Linked DNA regions of Coturnix japonica. The protein of the gene in region 1 binds, or shares a complex with, the protein of each later gene. Links are inferred from orthologs where the notes say so. Each region holds a gene or a part of one and is shown on either strand. Other genes may lie near its edges.

The links.
Region 2: the proteins of ZDHHC9 (region 1) and GOLGA7 are in contact, whole or in part, in a cryo-EM structure (PDB 8HF3), measured with the Homo sapiens proteins. The link is inferred for Coturnix japonica from reciprocal best matches to the Homo sapiens genes ZDHHC9 and GOLGA7. Residues at the interface, in NP_001008223.1 of Homo sapiens: Phe78, Ala81, Arg85, Ile94, Pro95, Leu98, Asp100, Glu101, Phe104, Ile105, Phe129, Gln130, Ile131, Asn132, Ile146, Pro149, Pro150, Arg182, Tyr183, Leu186, Tyr274, Lys281, Cys284, Glu285, Leu287, Cys288, Gly289, Pro290, Leu291, Pro292; in NP_001002296.1 of Homo sapiens: Lys11, Phe13, Gln15, Tyr18, Ser19, Ser20, Gly21, Thr22, Ala57, Glu58, Leu60, Ser64, Tyr65, Gly68, Cys72, Ala75, Tyr76, Thr77, Phe79, Leu80, Tyr86, Glu87, Leu90, Ile116, Arg118, Gly119, Arg121, Val122.

The regions. Positions count from the first base shown.
Region 1 is NC_029519.1:1,575,237-1,583,054, reverse strand, and holds the start of ZDHHC9 (palmitoyltransferase ZDHHC9), read right to left. Parts: upstream 4,647-7,818; 5' UTR 4,538-4,646; intron 4,293-4,537; exon of another isoform or gene 4,206-4,292; intron 3,945-4,205; 5' UTR 3,845-3,944; coding exon 3,678-3,844; intron 1-3,677. Other genes in the region: UTP14A (U3 small nucleolar RNA-associated protein 14 homolog A), read left to right, coding at 4,660-4,809, 4,963-5,033, 5,133-5,197, 5,357-5,499, 5,664-5,819, 6,324-6,443, 6,526-6,620, 6,830-6,953 and 2 more. UniProt on the Homo sapiens protein: Palmitoyltransferase that catalyzes the addition of palmitate onto various protein substrates, such as ADRB2, GSDMD, HRAS, NRAS and CGAS. The ZDHHC9-GOLGA7 complex is a palmitoyltransferase specific for HRAS and NRAS.
Region 2 is NC_029537.1:3,951,020-3,959,378, forward strand, and holds GOLGA7 (golgin subfamily A member 7), read left to right. Parts: upstream 1-3,919; 5' UTR 3,920-4,108; coding exon 4,109-4,219; intron 4,220-4,681; coding exon 4,682-4,834; intron 4,835-5,414; coding exon 5,415-5,516; intron 5,517-5,942; coding exon 5,943-5,990; 3' UTR 5,991-6,006; intron 6,007-6,541; exon of another isoform or gene 6,542-6,544; 3' UTR 6,545-7,743; downstream 7,744-8,359. Other genes in the region: GINS4 (DNA replication complex GINS protein SLD5), read left to right, coding at 7,928-8,020, 8,211-8,297. UniProt on the Homo sapiens protein: May be involved in protein transport from Golgi to cell surface. The ZDHHC9-GOLGA7 complex is a palmitoyltransferase specific for HRAS and NRAS.

The DNA.
Region 1 (7,818 bases):
CTGTCCTCTCCGCTGCAGCAAGGGAAACAGCACCATGCAGAGCTGGCTGGGTCCCGGCTCAGCAGGGACGAGGAGGCAGCCAGGTACTCACTGTGCTGGGATTCTTCAGTTCATGTTTTGCAGCGTGATTAAGCTTGGTAATTCATTTACACTGCTAAGTAACAGACATTTTAAAGATCTTTTGTTTGGGAAAGCAAAGCGCCAACAGAGACATACTGTTGGGATGTCAGGATATGGCTCCTCCTCTCAGAGCAGTATCTGTGTTCTGGAGCATTTTGTCATCTAATATCAGACAATAACAGCACTATTACAACATGCCATGGGAGGGGGGTGAGAAAGACTGAAACAAAGAGACCATTAGAAAGGGGAGGGAGGAGCAGCTAGAAGCAACAGATGGAGGTGCTGCAAGTTTAAGGCTTGCTATCCTGGTGACATTGAGGCTACCTGGGAAGCCGTGCTGCAGCCAGCACATCTAGCACAGCCTAGAGGGAGGGGAAAACCTGAGCAGTGTTTGCAGCACAGCACTTTGGGCTGGGGGTCATTCACCATGCTGCGGCACAGCTGGAGCTGCTGGGAGAAACCATCCCCATCAGTCAGCAGGGACAGCAAAACCACGTATTGGAGTAGAGTCACACTGAGAGCACACGCTGGGTGCTCCCAATCTACCCAAACCCACATCAGCAATTAGGCAGCACCAGGGTCTGCCTGGGGAATGCTGGTGGAGCAGAAGAGTAACCTGCAAAGTGCAAGAGAAAGGGCAGGTAATGCAGAAACACAGGGGCAGCTCCACACAGACACATGTCCTTACAAGCAGCATGAACCGAGCCCTGCGTGCCATCAAGTTCAGAGTACAGAGAGCATGACAACACTAACAAGCACCGATCGGCTCCTGTGCAGCTTTGGACAACACGTAACAAGAAGAGAGGGGAAAAAGCAGAGAGGAAAGCTATCTCAGCTGCACCTCCAAACAGCACAAAAACCTGAATCTCTGGGGTTTACGAAAAGAAGGCAAAGTCACAAGAAGGGTCAGCCCTGGCTCCTCAACTTATCAAAAAACAAAGACGTTTTAATCTCTACATAGCTAAGAATGTAGGAAAAAAACCATAAAGATAAACGAGCTCGGTTATCAGAAAAGCAAACAGCAGCCCCTTCCCACAGCCAGGAGCCTGGCATGGAGGGCACTATCTTGCTGTAACGTTTACAAACAGTGAGTGCTTGTGCTGGAAAGCTGAAAACAAAAGAAAAAGAGAAGTGGGTGCCTGTCACTGCAGGACAGCCCTTGCAAGGGCACCAGCAAACCGCAAAGAGAAACCTGCACAGTCAGAGGGAACATTCTATCCCTTCCTGTCCTTCCCAAAGCCGTTTCAGTAGGGCTTCACCCGTCCTTCCCATTGCATCCAACCCTGTGGGCACAGCTGGGCACCAAGCACTCGAGCACAGCAGCTTGCACACCCAATAATTGCCTCAAATAACACCAATTAAACACAATTTTATCTAACACATTATGGCTGTAGAGCAAACCCAGTGAAACAACAGGGATCGACCCCACGGGGACCAGCTCAGCCTGGGAGCAGTAGGAGCTGTGCTCTGCCCTTGGGCTTGGTGCCTGGTGCCTCTGCTCCATCAGGACAGAGGAGCCAATCTCCAGGTACAGCAGCCGGTTCCATCCTCTGGGCCTCCTCCTCTCCCCTCTAACAGCATTCCTATGTGCAGCTTTGAGGTCAAGAGAAGAAAAACATCGGACCACCCGCTCACTGGCTCTGCTGAAGCAGAGATGCGGCAGACTGGGTGGGGGGTGGAGGGGGTGGGAAGCCACCAGCAGCAGCCAAAGCAGAAAGGCTGTCATTTGGTGGCTGGGGAGGACTCCTTCTGCGAGCAGCTTATCTCGTGACGTGTGATGCCAGTCGGCAACAGATCCACACCACGGCGTTTGTAATCGGAGCCAGCGCGGCACGGCGGTGAGCACTGAGCTGCGGTGCTGGCTGGCTGCAGGCACCTCCAGCCTCACTCAGCCAAGGTGTGACTGCGCAAGTGATTCAGCTGAAAGGAACAAGCGCTCCAAAGAGGCACCCTGCAGTCAGCACACAAGGACTGAAAGGACTCCTCCACCCAGCAGGCTGCTTGTCTTTGCAATCGAACCCTACCGACCCCAACTGGTCCACTGTAGAACAAACTTGGGGGGGGGGGAATGGTGGATTTCTGTGCAAATGCCAAATCTGAATCTGAAAGGAATGAGTAACACACCCAGCGGAACAGATAGATGAAAGCCAAGGCCCTCTGGCTGGAGCACCCTAACGCACACAGACAACACAAAGGGTAACCAGGGCACCAGCAGCAGACTGTCAGCCTCCGCAGCAGGGTTAGCAAAACAGAAACACTGTGGAATGTTTCTGGTTTGGAAGACAACATTGCAGTCCTCTCCCACATACAAAAAGCCACCGACAATTTCATAACAAAAGCATCTCGCTCAAACAGAGCGCTTTAAGGCATCGTGCTTCGAGATCACCACATCAATCTTTTGGGTTTCTCCAGCCTCTCCCTCACCTGCACAACCCCACATCGTTCTGCTCCTGGCTGCACTGCTGTCACTACCAGCGCGTGCAGGGCTATGGACATAGGGCACTTCTACTTTATAAGCAGAAAGAGGCACAGACTAGGGACAGGCTCCGCAGGGAGCGGGAGCAATTACCACTGCCACTAAGTTCTTCAGGAGTATTAACACTTAGTAATTGTTCCTGCAAGGCAGGAAGTCTTAGCCCCATTTTTTGGATAGGGCATCATCAGGAAGCAGTGTCATTGTTCACCTATGACACTGAGTCAGGAATCATTTCAGGAGCCCAGCAGCTTGTGTTACAGCTGTTACAGTGATGCTCGCTGCAAAGCCATGCAGCAACTAAGCAGAAAAGCCAATCTGGTACCAAACTGGAGCCTGACAGCAGGCACTACCCGTTGGCTGGGACATGAGAGAGTCTCCTTGGGGTTCCAGAAAGCCCTTCTGAGGCCACATCCATAACACAGAGGGCAATGTCAGGCCAGAGGAAGCTGAGGCCATTTCTCTGGGCTGGGGCAACCTGGCACCTGGGCTATTGATTTGGGAGAACAACCAGAAGAACAAACAGGTTCCTCCATCCACCTTGCTGCCTTAAAGAGCTTTTGTGTTACACAACACCAGGACTTCACCGCTCTGAGACCAACAAAAACACGCTGACGGAGACTGAGGAAGGAAAGTTCTCTTGTTGTAGAAGCTGACGTCTCCTGATCAGGCCAAAAAGCTGTCCTGCCCCCTCACACAACAGCAGCACTCAGCCAAACGCATGCTACGGACTATTTTTTTGGGGGGATCAGCACACAGCTAGGCTGCCCCCACAAGAGATGGCCCTGGGAAGGGGAGAGGTCCCATCCGTTGGGCAGAGCCCACCCGTAAGGGCTGCAGGGCCTCACCACATGCTGCCAGTGGTTCTGGGGTGGTGGGATGGGTGCAGACCCCTCTCCCTCTGCTGTCAGACTGCATCGATGCCTCGCCGGGCCCCATCCCCTCCCTCTTTGCCAAGGCCACAGGCCATCGCGGTGATGGGAAGAAGGGCACAAAGCCCCATCGGGCCCCCCCCAGCACAGCAGCATGCTGCCAGCAGGTCCCCACCCAACTCTCCCCCCCCTCGTCCCCCCCCAGCACTCACTCGAAGGCGAAGAAGAGGGCACAGGTGCCAAGGATGAGGAAGAGCGTCAGGTAGAAGATGCCCTTCTGCCGGGCCATCATGATGCGGCCATCGCAGCAGAAGGTGTTCCTGCCCGGCAGCTTCTCCCATTTCCGTACCACCTTCTTCCTCGCCACCATCACCGACATGGCGGGGCCGTCAACGGGGCCGCCGCTCGGCCGGGCGCTGCCGCTCCGCCGCCCCCGGCATCGTCGGGCCCGACTGGGCCGGGCTGTGCTGGGTCGGGAGCTGCGAGGAGAGGAGAGGAGAGGAGAGGAGAGGAGAGGAGAGGGCGGCTCAGCACGGGAGGGGGGGGGTCGTCACGCCAACATCACCCCCCCATCCCCCTCCTTTCTCAGGGGTGTCGCTATGGCAACCCGCGGTTGGGTGTGTGCTGGGGAAAGCCCCGGGCACAACGAGCGCGGCCCCGGCCCGCGGGAAACGGGACGGGACGGAAGGGACGAGGGAAGGGAGAGGAGGAGGAGGAGGAGCGGACGCGGCCCCGCTCACCCCGGGCGGTGCCGGCAGCCCCAGACCGGGCCGACGGCAGCTCAGCGCCGCGGGAGGGGCCGCCACGCCCCGCGACGCCGCTGTGGGAGCGGCCGGGCCCGCCATTGGTCCAGGGCCGCTCGGCGCCCCGCCTCCCCGCTGCTCTTCTCGCTCTCCCATTGGTCGGGCGCGGTGTCCATCTCCGGCTGTTACCGACGCTCCGGTGCGAACAAGGGGGGGCGGGGCTGGGGGCCGGGCCCGGCACGTGGCGGGGGCGGGGCCGGGCGATGCCGGGGACCCCGGAGGGCGGGTAGGAGACGAAGAGGAACGGGACGGAAAGGGAAAGGGCGAACCTGTCTCGTAGCGTCACGTCGAGCCGCTGCAGCCAGCAGTTCGCCAGCAGTTCGCCCGCCACACCCGCAGCGCGGCCCCGTGGGCCTAACGCCGCCGTTCGGCCGCGGCTCCGCCCGCTGCCATGGCAGCCGTGACGTCACGGAGCGGGCGGAAGTGCGGCTCCTCGTGCGGGGCGGAAGCGGCGCGCTTTACGGCACTTTGCGACGCCATGGCGGAGGAGTGGCTGGGCGCCGAGGCGGCGGGGAGCGGCAGCGAGGAGGAGGAGGAGGAGGTGAGCGGGATCCGCGGGGCGGGGCGGGGCTGCGCTCACCGGCATCGGGCGCTCCGCTGATCCGCGGGGTCTGGTGGGAGCAGCGAGTGGGGCCGGGGCCGGGCCTCACCCGCTCAGGCGGTGACCCCGGTGACCGTGTGCTTGGTGCGGCAGCAGCAGGAGGATGGAGAGCGGCGGCACCAGCAGCTCCTGGAGGCGGTCAGTGCCCTCACCGGGAGGAAGCGGTGAGTGCGGGGCTTCGAGTTCCTGCTGCTGCGGCAGCACGTGGCGGGGCGCTGCGCTCCCAGCGGTGACTCAACGTGTCGTATTTATCGTCCCGGCAGGAGGAAGCTGGCCGAGCGCTCCGAGCCCAGTGCGCAGGTGTCCGAGTTCAACGTTAGCTGTAAAGGTGGGGGCCCTCCCTGCTTCCCCTATGGAGGAGGATGCTCTCCATCTGCTGGGGAGAACACTGATACGCTGTGGTGGGCTTTGGGGTGAAGGTGCCTCTCCATGGTGCTGCCCCACTCGGTGGCACCGTGGTGGTGCTGATGCACGAGGTCTCTTGTAGGTGCCGGGGAGAAACTTGTCCTGTCCGAGCTCCTGCAGCCCATCCATGGCCGCTCTGCCCTGAGTGGTGTGAAGAAGGAGTTCAGCAGAGTGAAGCAGAAGAAAGCAGTGGAGCTGCCGCTCAGCAAGGAGGAGGCAGAGCGGGTATGCAGGGCTGCAGGCAAACAGCACAGTGAAGGCATCCCAGCCTTAAGGGACGCTCTTTTAGCCCCTCTGTGCTATCTGCATCTCTCTTATTGTCTGACGTGTCTTGTTCCACAGATCAGCTTCTCTGCTCACTTTTTTTTCTTTCTTGCTCTCATCTGCAGGTAGTGAGGGAGGCTGCCTATGTCAAGAGCTCTAAAGATGTTGGCAAGTGGCAGCCAGTTGTACTGCAGAACCGCCGAGCAAAGCAGCTGGTTTTCCCTCTGAAGGAGGAGATTGTGGCAGTTGCCCCCCTGGAGCAAGTGGTTTCAGCATGGAAGGTGGGTGCTGCCACATGCCCATCATTGCCATCTCTTGGGCACAGTTTTCCCCCCTGCCTTTATTTAGCACTCAGCACATCAGCTAAGCCTGTTGTTTCCTAGTCCCTCTCCTGACCTAGGTGCCTGCTCATAGCACTCAGCCGTTTCTCTTTGAGATGAAGGGTTTGGTTCACAAAAGGCTGTGTACCTATAAATTTTGGCTATTTTTCTAGTGTTGAACACAAGTTCCCTTGAAGTTTGCATTGCTTCTCAGGAGAGTTACTCATCCCTGGAGAGCTTTCCCAGGTCAGGGCAGTCTTTATCAAGCTCCCAGCTCAACAAGCACCCTTCTGTCTGTGCAAGGATTTCTCCTTGTCCCCCGTTGGGCCTGGGACTTTGGCTTGTTTGTGCCCTCCTATGGGGGTGCTCTGGCATCAGGAAGGATGGGAAGGTGTGTGTGGGTGTCTCTTCCTGCAGTCATTTGTGTCTCGTCTAGTCTCACTGCCTATTCTGTCCCACCAACAGCCTCGAACTCCCCTGGAGCAGGAGATCTTTGGTCTGCTCCACAAAACACAGCAGCCCATCACAGACCCGCTCCTGACACCACAGGAGAAAGCCTCACTGCAGGCAATGAGCTTGGAGGAGGTGAGTGTTTCTTTCTTCTGCTGCACTGTGGTTATGAAGGCTTCTTCCTTCATGCTTTCCCTTGCGCTGTGTTTGCTGGCAGGCCAAGCGGCGGCGAGCAGAGCTTCAGAAGGCTCGAGTCCTGCAGTCCTACTATGAAGCCAAGGCTCGTCGAGAGAAAAAGATCAAGAGCAAGAAGTAAGGCTATAGCATTGCTGGGCTCGGTGATCTGGGGCCCAATGCTTGAGAGAGAGTGGTTAAAGGGTGGAGGGAAGCAGAGAGTCACAAGTTGAAATGTTGCCGGGAAGCTGTGCTTCTTCATGCACAGAACAGTGCTCCCTTGCCAAAGCAGAGGCTGGGTGCCTGTGCCAGGTCTCACTCCTCAACTGTCTGCTCTTGTGCTGCAGGTACCATCGTGTGCTGAAGAAAAGCAAGAGACGCAAGGCCTTAAAGGATTTTGAGATGCTGCAGAAGTCAGACCCTGAGGCTGCCTTGGCAAAGCTAGAAGAGCTGGATCAGCTCAGGATGGAGGTGCTGCTTGCTTGCTTCTCCTTCATTGTTTGGGAAGTCCCTACTCCTGAGAGTGTTCTTTCTGATGCTTCTCTTTGCCTCTGCCTCAGGAGCGGATGAGTCTCAAACACCAAAACAAGGGGAAATGGGCCCGCTCGCGGGCCATTATGGCCAAGTATGACCTGGAGGTGAGGTGCAGCTTGGGAAAGGGGAAGACAGCTGAGAGCGGGGCAAGTAAGTGGGCATGTTTTTTCTGGCCTGTGTTGGAAACATCTCGATCCCATGCCAGGCTCGCAAGGCCATGCAAGAGCAGCTGGCCAGGAACAAGGAGCTGATGCAGAAGGTGCGGGTGGAATTGCCTGAGGAGGAGCCAGCTGATATGCCTGAGGAGGACCTCACTTCTACAGCCGTCGTCCCTCCTGTCTCTGTGGGAGCAAACAAAGCAAATCCCTGGATGCTGGGCAAGCCCAGTGACCCAGCCCAGGAGCCTGACATGCCAGAGGACCTTGGAGATGCTGTAGTGCCAGTTGCTGTAGAGAGCAAGGAGATGTCAGAGGAGGAGGAAGAGCTGTCAGAAGAGGAAGCACTGCTACAAGACTTTCAGCAGAAACGGCAAGCATGGCGGCAGCAGGCAGGGAGTCCTGAACAGCACAGCAAGGAGCTCACAGTCCTGCCTGGTGTCTGCAGTGTCACAGAGCAAGGTGGGTCATTAGGGCTTGTATTGGCAGTAACTATGCTGGTATTAACAAGGATAGCAATTACAAGCAAAATGGTAGAAATACAGAAGATATAAGGAAAAGGGAACTCACCAGAGCTGAGGCAATCCTCCCTGGTGAGCAATCTCCAAGAGATGCTGCCTCAGTGAGGGTCAGCCCTTAAATGAGGT
Region 2 (8,359 bases), on another chromosome or scaffold:
CTTCCTCATGCAAATCCTCTGACCAATCATTTAGGGATCAGGGGCAATTCAGCTTCTTGTGCAAATTCCAAGCTGAAGGCCTTGGAAAAAAAAAAAAAAAAAGAAAAAGCAAGTGAATGGATTTACTTTTCTAAGAAGCAGAATTAACAAAGGTTCCATTTTCCACGGTTATGTGCCTGGCCAGACAGCCCTTGCTGACAAGCTCTCAAAAAACATGTGTTGGCCTGTTGAAAAGGCCCCAGTGTTGACTGACAGACAATCGAAGTGACAAATTGTTTCATTGTACTTGGCAGGGAGAGCGCGGTATTAGATAATTACAGCGAGGGGGGAAGCGGCAGGTCGCAGGTCAGAAGACACGTCTGACCCCATTTTCTGAATGCCCTGAAAGGAGCCTCCTCCGGGAGAGCAGCCCTGATTAACAGCTAACGATGCCGGAGGGCAGCAAGCATCATCGCCCATCCAACCTATGGGTCCGGTCTCACCCTTAGACCCAGTTGGCAGCATCACCCTGGGGAGATGTGTCACTGGCAGCACAAACTGGCAGGAAAAAGCTCTTTATTTTTAATGCAACATCCTTCAAACTTCTCACTTGCTCCATCAGTAGGTGTGTGAAACTTGATTCCAAAATAATGAGACAGATAGCTCAGTTTTCAGGTATTCATCATCTTCATTTTGGGAGCAGACGTGGATTATTTTGCCAGGAAGCACTGCAAAGTGTTGCATGGCTCCTGCTCAACGACAGGCATTTCATTGCATGAAAACCCCTCTGAATTGCTCTCCAAAACACCACTCTCCAAACTTAATTCAAACCATACAGGAAGCCCCGATGTAGGATCTTTCAGGCCTATAAAATGAAACAAATTGGCTTTGCGAGCATATCTCCCAATCTGAGCCATGTAAATTCATTTGGTCCTCTTGGATCCATACTGCATTAGGTGGCCTGAAAGGCTCCTTTGTTCCACAGTCCCCCAGTCCCCTCCACCGACCCAGGTGCTGCTCTGTCACAATGGGATGGAGGGGTCCCTGCATGCAGCAGCCCCTTGGATGCTCCCAGCAGCCCAGCACCAAGGGAAGGGGAACAGCAGCAACATTTGGTGTTTCTCCTAGGAAAGGTCTGCAGTCCATGGATCACAGATGGTTTGATTTACCAATAACAAACACAATCCTGTTCCTTGCTCTTGCCTTTTCTGTGTAACACTGAGTGTGGTACCCACCAGCACAGCTTCAAATTACCCTCCCCAGGCACAGGAACCTCCTCCTGCCCACGTGTGTTCAGTGTCCCATGGGAACAAGGCAGCCTGGGATGCCACATGCTGGTTTGCAGCTCCTCCTTCAGTGCCTCTCAGAAACACCAAGGTCTTGCTTAAGCCTGGAAGAACAACATTCTGCCCAAGATGAGACATTGCTTTGCTTTTCTTTAGTATTTCATGCACGCTCGCTATATAAGTTTAACACGCTTGTTCTGATTTAGAGATGGTGCATTGGAATAAGCTGTTAAAATTACGAACTTCTTACGCTTGGTGTCATAAAACACTGAAACAGTGAATGGATCTTTCAGAAAGAGGCACATTACACATTCAGTGTTGGGCACCTCAGTACAAAAAGGACATGGAGGTATTGGAGCAGGTCCAGAGAAGGGCAATGAGGCTTGTGAAGGGCTTGGAAAATTGGCCCTATGAGGAGAAGCTGAGGGAGCTGGGGCTGTGGAAAAGGAGGCTGAAGGGAAACCTGATTGCTCTCCTCCAGTAACTTAAAGTGCTTACAGTGAGAGCGGGGCTGGTCTCTTCTCACTGTTGACAGGACGAGGGGAAATGGCCTCAAGTTGCACCCAGGTAAGTTTAGGTTGGAAGTTAGGAAACACTTCTTTACAGAAAGGGAAGTTAAACACTGGAATAGGCTCCCCAGAGAGGTGGTTGAGTTGCCACCCCTGGATGTGTATAAGAGCCATTTGGATGTGGTGCTCAGAGATATGATTTAGCATAGGGTTGTTAGAGTTAAGGTACTATGGTTAGGCTGCGGTTGGACTTGATGATCTTTGAGGTCTTTCCCAACCTGAGTAATTCTATGATTACATGGTTACCATTTCCAGGTTCAGCCTCCATGTTAGGTCAGCAAACCCAGGAGGTTCCCTCTGGTTACAGCATTTGCCAGCTTTTTTCACTCCAAAAACTCAACAGTGGGTATCTGTACCTGAAGATCCAGACACCCTGAAAATAGATATTTTTTGTTTCTATAAACTCCAGTAAAATCGTAGCTGGATCAAAGTTTGCATTCATCCTTCTAGAATATTTCATATGCACATAAAACATCTGAAACAATTTTAACATCACAATCTTAACTGCTTTCACATTGCAAGCAGCTAAAGGTTAAGGAAACGCATTCCATCTGGTGCAGCATTTGAAGCAGATCATTCCTGAGAGGACTTTCAGGCAGGCAATGGGGAATGGGCTGCAGGAATGGGGGCTCAGCTCATGCCACATTTTGTCCCCACGCTGCTCCAACTGACTGGGCGCTTCCTGCACAAGGCACAGGGGTTGTTTGTTCAAGCAGACCCACTAGGTGTTTATTAGTCTTCATTATGGAGTGCTAGAGGGTTAATTAGTTCAGGCTGCTCCTATTGGAGGGGGGGGGGGGGACAGGAGGGGGGTGCACAGAGATCACAGCAGCTGATAGCCGGGTTCCTGGGACACTCAGCACTCAGATTACATTTAGATCTCTAATGTCAGATCTCTATTTGTATTTTTCTCTGTTTCCTTTTTATCTCCTCCCCGAGCAATTTAAAGGTGTCATTATCACATTTGCAAACTGCTTAGCACAAAGAAGAGCCCTCCTTTGGGCTAGAGGGGTGCCTCTTCCCTAGCTGCCACCCCTGGGCTGTGTGCTGGGGACACTGACAGCTCTGTTTACTGTCTTTTATCATCACAACATTGTTAGTTTTGTCTGGAGCGTGACACGGCGGCTGCTTATTATGCCCTGTTAAAACTAAACCCAATAAATCATTCTTGTATTTGTTTCCTCCGTGTTGATTTGTGGCGTGGTCGGCAGGGGACAACAAACGCTTCATCAATCTCAGCAAAGCATTGAACCCTACAGATCAGAGCCCACGCAGCACTCCAGCACTTGGGGCTTTGGAGGCATGGGGTGCTGGAGAATAACCCTGACCACCAGCACGATGCCTCAGCCATTAACTGCCCTTGCATTAAGGCCTGATTAACGTAGCTTTAGCTTCCCATTGACCTCAGTACATGCACATTTTGCCTGCTTTGTTCAGAACTCTGCTCCCTTTGGAATTAGTTACATTCTGTGGGATAGGGGTAACCTGCAGCCTCACAAACCTCATCCACCCATTGCTACCCAACAGCTGCAAGCCCTTGTACCAAACTCATAACAGCTACAACCCAAACTCATAACATAACACCTCCCTATGGAGGGATGAAGTTACACCAGCCAAGAGATATCCCAATGCAGAACTGCTTTGTTAGCAAAGCAAGGCTCTGCTCTTATAAGGCAGGATCCATCCAGATCCAGCAGTCACTGCTGTGCAGTGGGTGCTCGGTGTCCCAATGGACACCCAGCACCCAACCAGGGGTCACTGTATGTGTCTGAACCCAGGCTCTGGATCCCCATCCTACATCTGTACTTACAAACACCCCTCCCATTGATAACGCATTGAATCTCCCTTCCAATTCACACAGCGTTTTATACGCCCTATATATATGACTAGAGACCGCTCTCAGCGCGCATGCGCGGATAGGCGGGGCGCGGCGAGGGGGCGTATCCGGACTGTGCCATGTGATCTGCAAGCGGGGGGGAGCGGGGCTGTACCACTCTACGGACGTCAGGGGGTGTGCGTGAGGTCACGAGTGCTGTGCGTCAGCTGCGATTGGTGGGACGGGTAGCGAGTGCTCATGCGTGAGCTTGACGCTCTGTTTCGCTCCGGCGCGTGCGCATGCGCACTGTCTCTCTCTCTGGGCCTGATGGGGGCGACGGCGCATGCGCGGAATATCGCTTCCGCCTTTTCCTTGGCCCGGAGCTGACCGGACGCGTTTAGCGCGGTGTGAACGGAGCGGCGGAGCCCGGAGGAGCGGAGCGAGGCGGCCGCGGTGCCATGAGGCCGCAACAAGCGCCCGTGTCGGGCAAAGTGTTCATCCAGCGTGATTACAGCGGGGGGACCCGCTGTCAGTTCCAGAGCAAGTTCCCGGCCGAGCTGGAGAACCGGGTAAAGCGGATCCCGTGCTTTATATTTACCCCCCCGCCATTGTATTGCTTTACAGACCCCCCCCATGGACAGTGCTGCATGAAGCACTAAGGAATTACTGCTTGTCTCTCATGCTCTAGCAGCCCGTTGTGTGTTAAGGAAGCTGCTTTTGTTTGTTGGTGGAATTACAGTTCCTTTAAATGCTTTGTGTTCAGGTTGTGTTGCAATTCAGGCTTGATATAACAACAATGATACAATTACAATTCAGGCTTGATATAACAACATCACAACAAAGAGTTTCAGGCCTGTAACTCACAGCACCCTCCACACTTTGAGCACACCTAAGTGGAAGATGGCAGTAGGTGATATTACTATGGGGAGGGGGGAAAAAAGACAAAGTGGGAATAAAAACAAGCAAGGGCTGTTATTAGAAGGTACTGCTGAGTTCTGAGCTGTGCTGGTTAAACCTGATTTCTCTTTCAGATCGATAGGCAGCAGTTTGAAGAGACTGTCCGGACACTGAATAACCTTTATGCTGAAGCTGAGAAGCTTGGGGGCCAGTCATACCTTGAGGGGTGTCTGGCCTGTCTGACTGCCTATACTATCTTCTTGTGCATGGAAACACATTATGAAAAGGTAGGTTTCTTTTGTTTTCCTTCTTTCTTAGAAAGTGGTATATCCTACAGACTTCAGATGCTTTATTTCCTGGTGGGTTTTCTGTGACTTGTACCTCAGTTGTATGAATTCCATATAGACTCTGGATCTTACTACGGGGTGACTTAACATCTACAGACAAGTCCGTCTGATATATGAGTTACCTGAGCAGTGTAACATTTTCTGTACAGAACAGTTTCTGTCTCTGGTGGGTATCGGTGCTCTCATGCTGGGTTCTCCTAATATTGTTATATCGGTGGTATTGCTGAGCTATGGCTCTAAGACGGGAAAACTTAATTAAGAAATCTAGTTTCATAAATCACAGAATCACAGAATGACCTGGGTTGGAAAGGACCTCAAGGATCATGTAGTTCCAACCCCCCTGCCTAGCAGGGCCACCAAACATACGCCTTTACTAGATCAGGTTGCCCAGGGCCCTGTCCAACCTGGTCATGAACACCTCCAAGGATGGGGCATCCACAGCCTCCCTGGGCAGCCTGTTCCAGGGCCTAACCACTCTCCTAGTGAATAAACTGTGACTTCCCTGCTGTTCTATTATCAGGTTCTAAAGAAAATTGCCAAGTTCATTCAGGAACAGAACGAGAAGATCTATGCTCCTCAGGGCCTCCTTCTGACCGATCCCATTGAAAGAGGACTAAGAGTTGTATCCTTGTGTGGTTTCTAAGATTATTTCTTAATTCTTTAATAATATGGTATCCTCTAGTCATGCTTGATCTGTGATACTGCGAAATACATGATCAGTCTTGTTACTCTCAGGTATGTGCTGTTCTTTGAGCAGATAAGTTTATTTCTGCCCTGTTGTGGAGCTTTTGCTGAGATTTAGGAGGAGATGGCAAGGTTCACAAGCTCTTTGTATGCAGCATCTTGTGTTCTTGTTGTCAGAACAATCCTGAGCTGCCATAGGTCGATCTGATCTGACAAGGCAGGTGAGCTGTTGTGTTTGTTTTGTAGCTCTTGAGTAAGCAGCTATGAAGCAGAAAGATCAAAAGTTCTAATATCATAATGATTTTTTCACTTTCATTTTTGTAAACTTCTTATAGTATATTTTCCTAACAGCCTTTCTACACAGATTGAAATTACCATTTATGAAGACAGAGGCATGAGCAGTGGAAGATAAAACTGTGGAGTCTCAGGTACATATCAGCATTACAGTAGATGCCAATCTCAGCTTCCTTTATGGTGCTCAGAGTGGTAGACTCTTCTGCTGAAACAGAATGTTTATCCAGCTACTGCATGTCATCAATGACTTTTTACTTAAGTCTTGTGTGGTGTAGGTTTTCTGAATGTGTGGTTAATTTCATGCTACTCTCAGTTCAAACAATAACAGATTTGACTTAAACAGTCAAGATTGGAATTTGGTAAAATATACATAAACTGAACTTGCACTGTATCAAGCCCAGAATGGCTTTCTGTATTTGAAGAGTCTTGATTTTTCACAAAGCTTTTCTGGCATAAGTCTCTACCCTTTCTGAGAAGTAATACTTCCTAATTGATGGTGCTTTACTGTTCTTCCTATTATGCTGTGAAAGATGCAGCTTTTCTTGAATGTTTTTAGAGGTACCTAAAAGCTTTTGTGTTTAAAGCATCTATGAAAAGGTCATAACCCATGTTAAGAATCACCTTGTATTTTGCCTGGCAATCAGTTCTAACATGTAACTTCTTTTCTAGCAGACAGCTCAACAGTGGACTTGCTGTATCAGTTCCCCTACCTCCTACTTTAGAGCATCATTCCTCTTTCTGCTGCCAGATCCACAGTGCCATTTTCTACAGGGACTGACTTCCTAAAACTACTCCACGTGGTGTGACCCAGCTGGTCAGCATTCATTTTGTGGCGAATTATTGAGCCTTGAGATCACTTTTAAGTTCCTAAAGGAAACGCAGAAGTGGTGAAGCTGCATATTCTTCTGACAGAACCGCATTAACCCAACAGAAGTTGGCTCTAGTCATGTAAATGTGGTGCCGTTCCTCCCCACTTCTTAAATCTTTCTGATTGGGCTTTGGAAACCTACAAGTCAGAGTGGAATTTTCCAGAAGAAAGGCTTTCCCTCGAGGTCAGTATTGCAGTGAGGGGATACGCAGTGCCTCTTCCCAGTGCAAAATGACTCAAGGCAATGAGCGTTGGAAGCGTCCTGTACTGATTCTTATGGAAAAACTAGAAGGCAAAAAATGTTTCTCGTTTTAATGTTTTGGTTATTCCTAGAAGAGAGGGACTTTATTCCTGGTGTTTTTTCTACTGCTGTGTATGTGCTGTTGTATGTCAGTGCTGAGCAGAAGAGGGAGAGTCTATAAAACAGGAAGTACAATAAAATGGATGCTGAACCAATAAACATAACTCTTCCCCTTCTCTGATTAATACGTGAAGTGTAAAACTGTTTCTTTATGAATTTATTATAACTTATAGGAAAACACTGATTCGACAGAGCTGTTGTGTGGGATGGTCTCATCACTCTTTGCCTGCTGGCGCACTATTGAGCTGTGTGTTATTTCCTCTCTTTTTGCATTGACATTCCTCAGCAATACCTAAAGCACGTTCCTAGGAACCAGGTTTGGGTTCATTCTTTTCTCTTTGCTCTTCTCAAGGAAAAATATGTTCAGAATTGAGCCATGATCCAATTATAGAAGGAATTCAAGAGCTTAGGAATAATATAGGAGAGATGGAGTGTTTTGGCTTTTGGTGGTGCTGTAGGTGCTACTGCGTCTGAAATTCCAGCCTTGTTCCTCAGCCAGTAACTTCTGTTTTGTGGGGTTTTTTGTTTTAATTTAATATTCTAACTGTATAAAACTTGTTTTCTAAGCTGTGGTTGCCTTTCATGTTTGTTGCGATACTGGCAGAAGTACTAATGGATCAGTAAATTTTTTCTTAAACCGTGTCTGTGGCCTGTTCAGTCGCGCTGTTTTGAGGTGTTTTGATGCTAAAAGCACATCCACAAGGCCTAGCAGGGCCGCACTGCTGCACCCCCTACGGCCGCCATTTTGTCATGGCTTGCGCCTGCGCTAGTGCAGAACATCCGGGTCGCGCTGTGCGCCTGCGCAGTGGAGCGGCGGCTTGTTGTAATGGCGGCGGCGGGCGGTGAGGAGCCGGACTCGGACGATGGCAGCGAGGAGCTGGTTCTTACCCCACTGCAGCTCATCCGCAGCCTGGAGCAGGTAGAGCGGGACAGGGATGAGCCCCGAGGGGACTTTTAGACCATCGGCAGCTGGAGCTGTCCGAGGAAGGAGCGGGGAGGATGACGGTCAGGCCTGTGGGCCCGCTGGGCGGGAAGGGGCGATGTGGGGACGGGGTCCCGGTGGTCGGTAGGAACTGTGTGGGCCTTTATCACATCGTGCTTCCTCCTAGGCCTGGATGAACGAGAAGTTTGCCCCCGAGCTGCTGGAGAGCAAACCGGAGATCATTGAGTGCGTGGTGGAGCAGCTGGACCACATGGTGTGTGCTATGGAGGGGGTGCTCTTCTGACTATTTACAATGCTTGTTTGCTGAGCATAGCG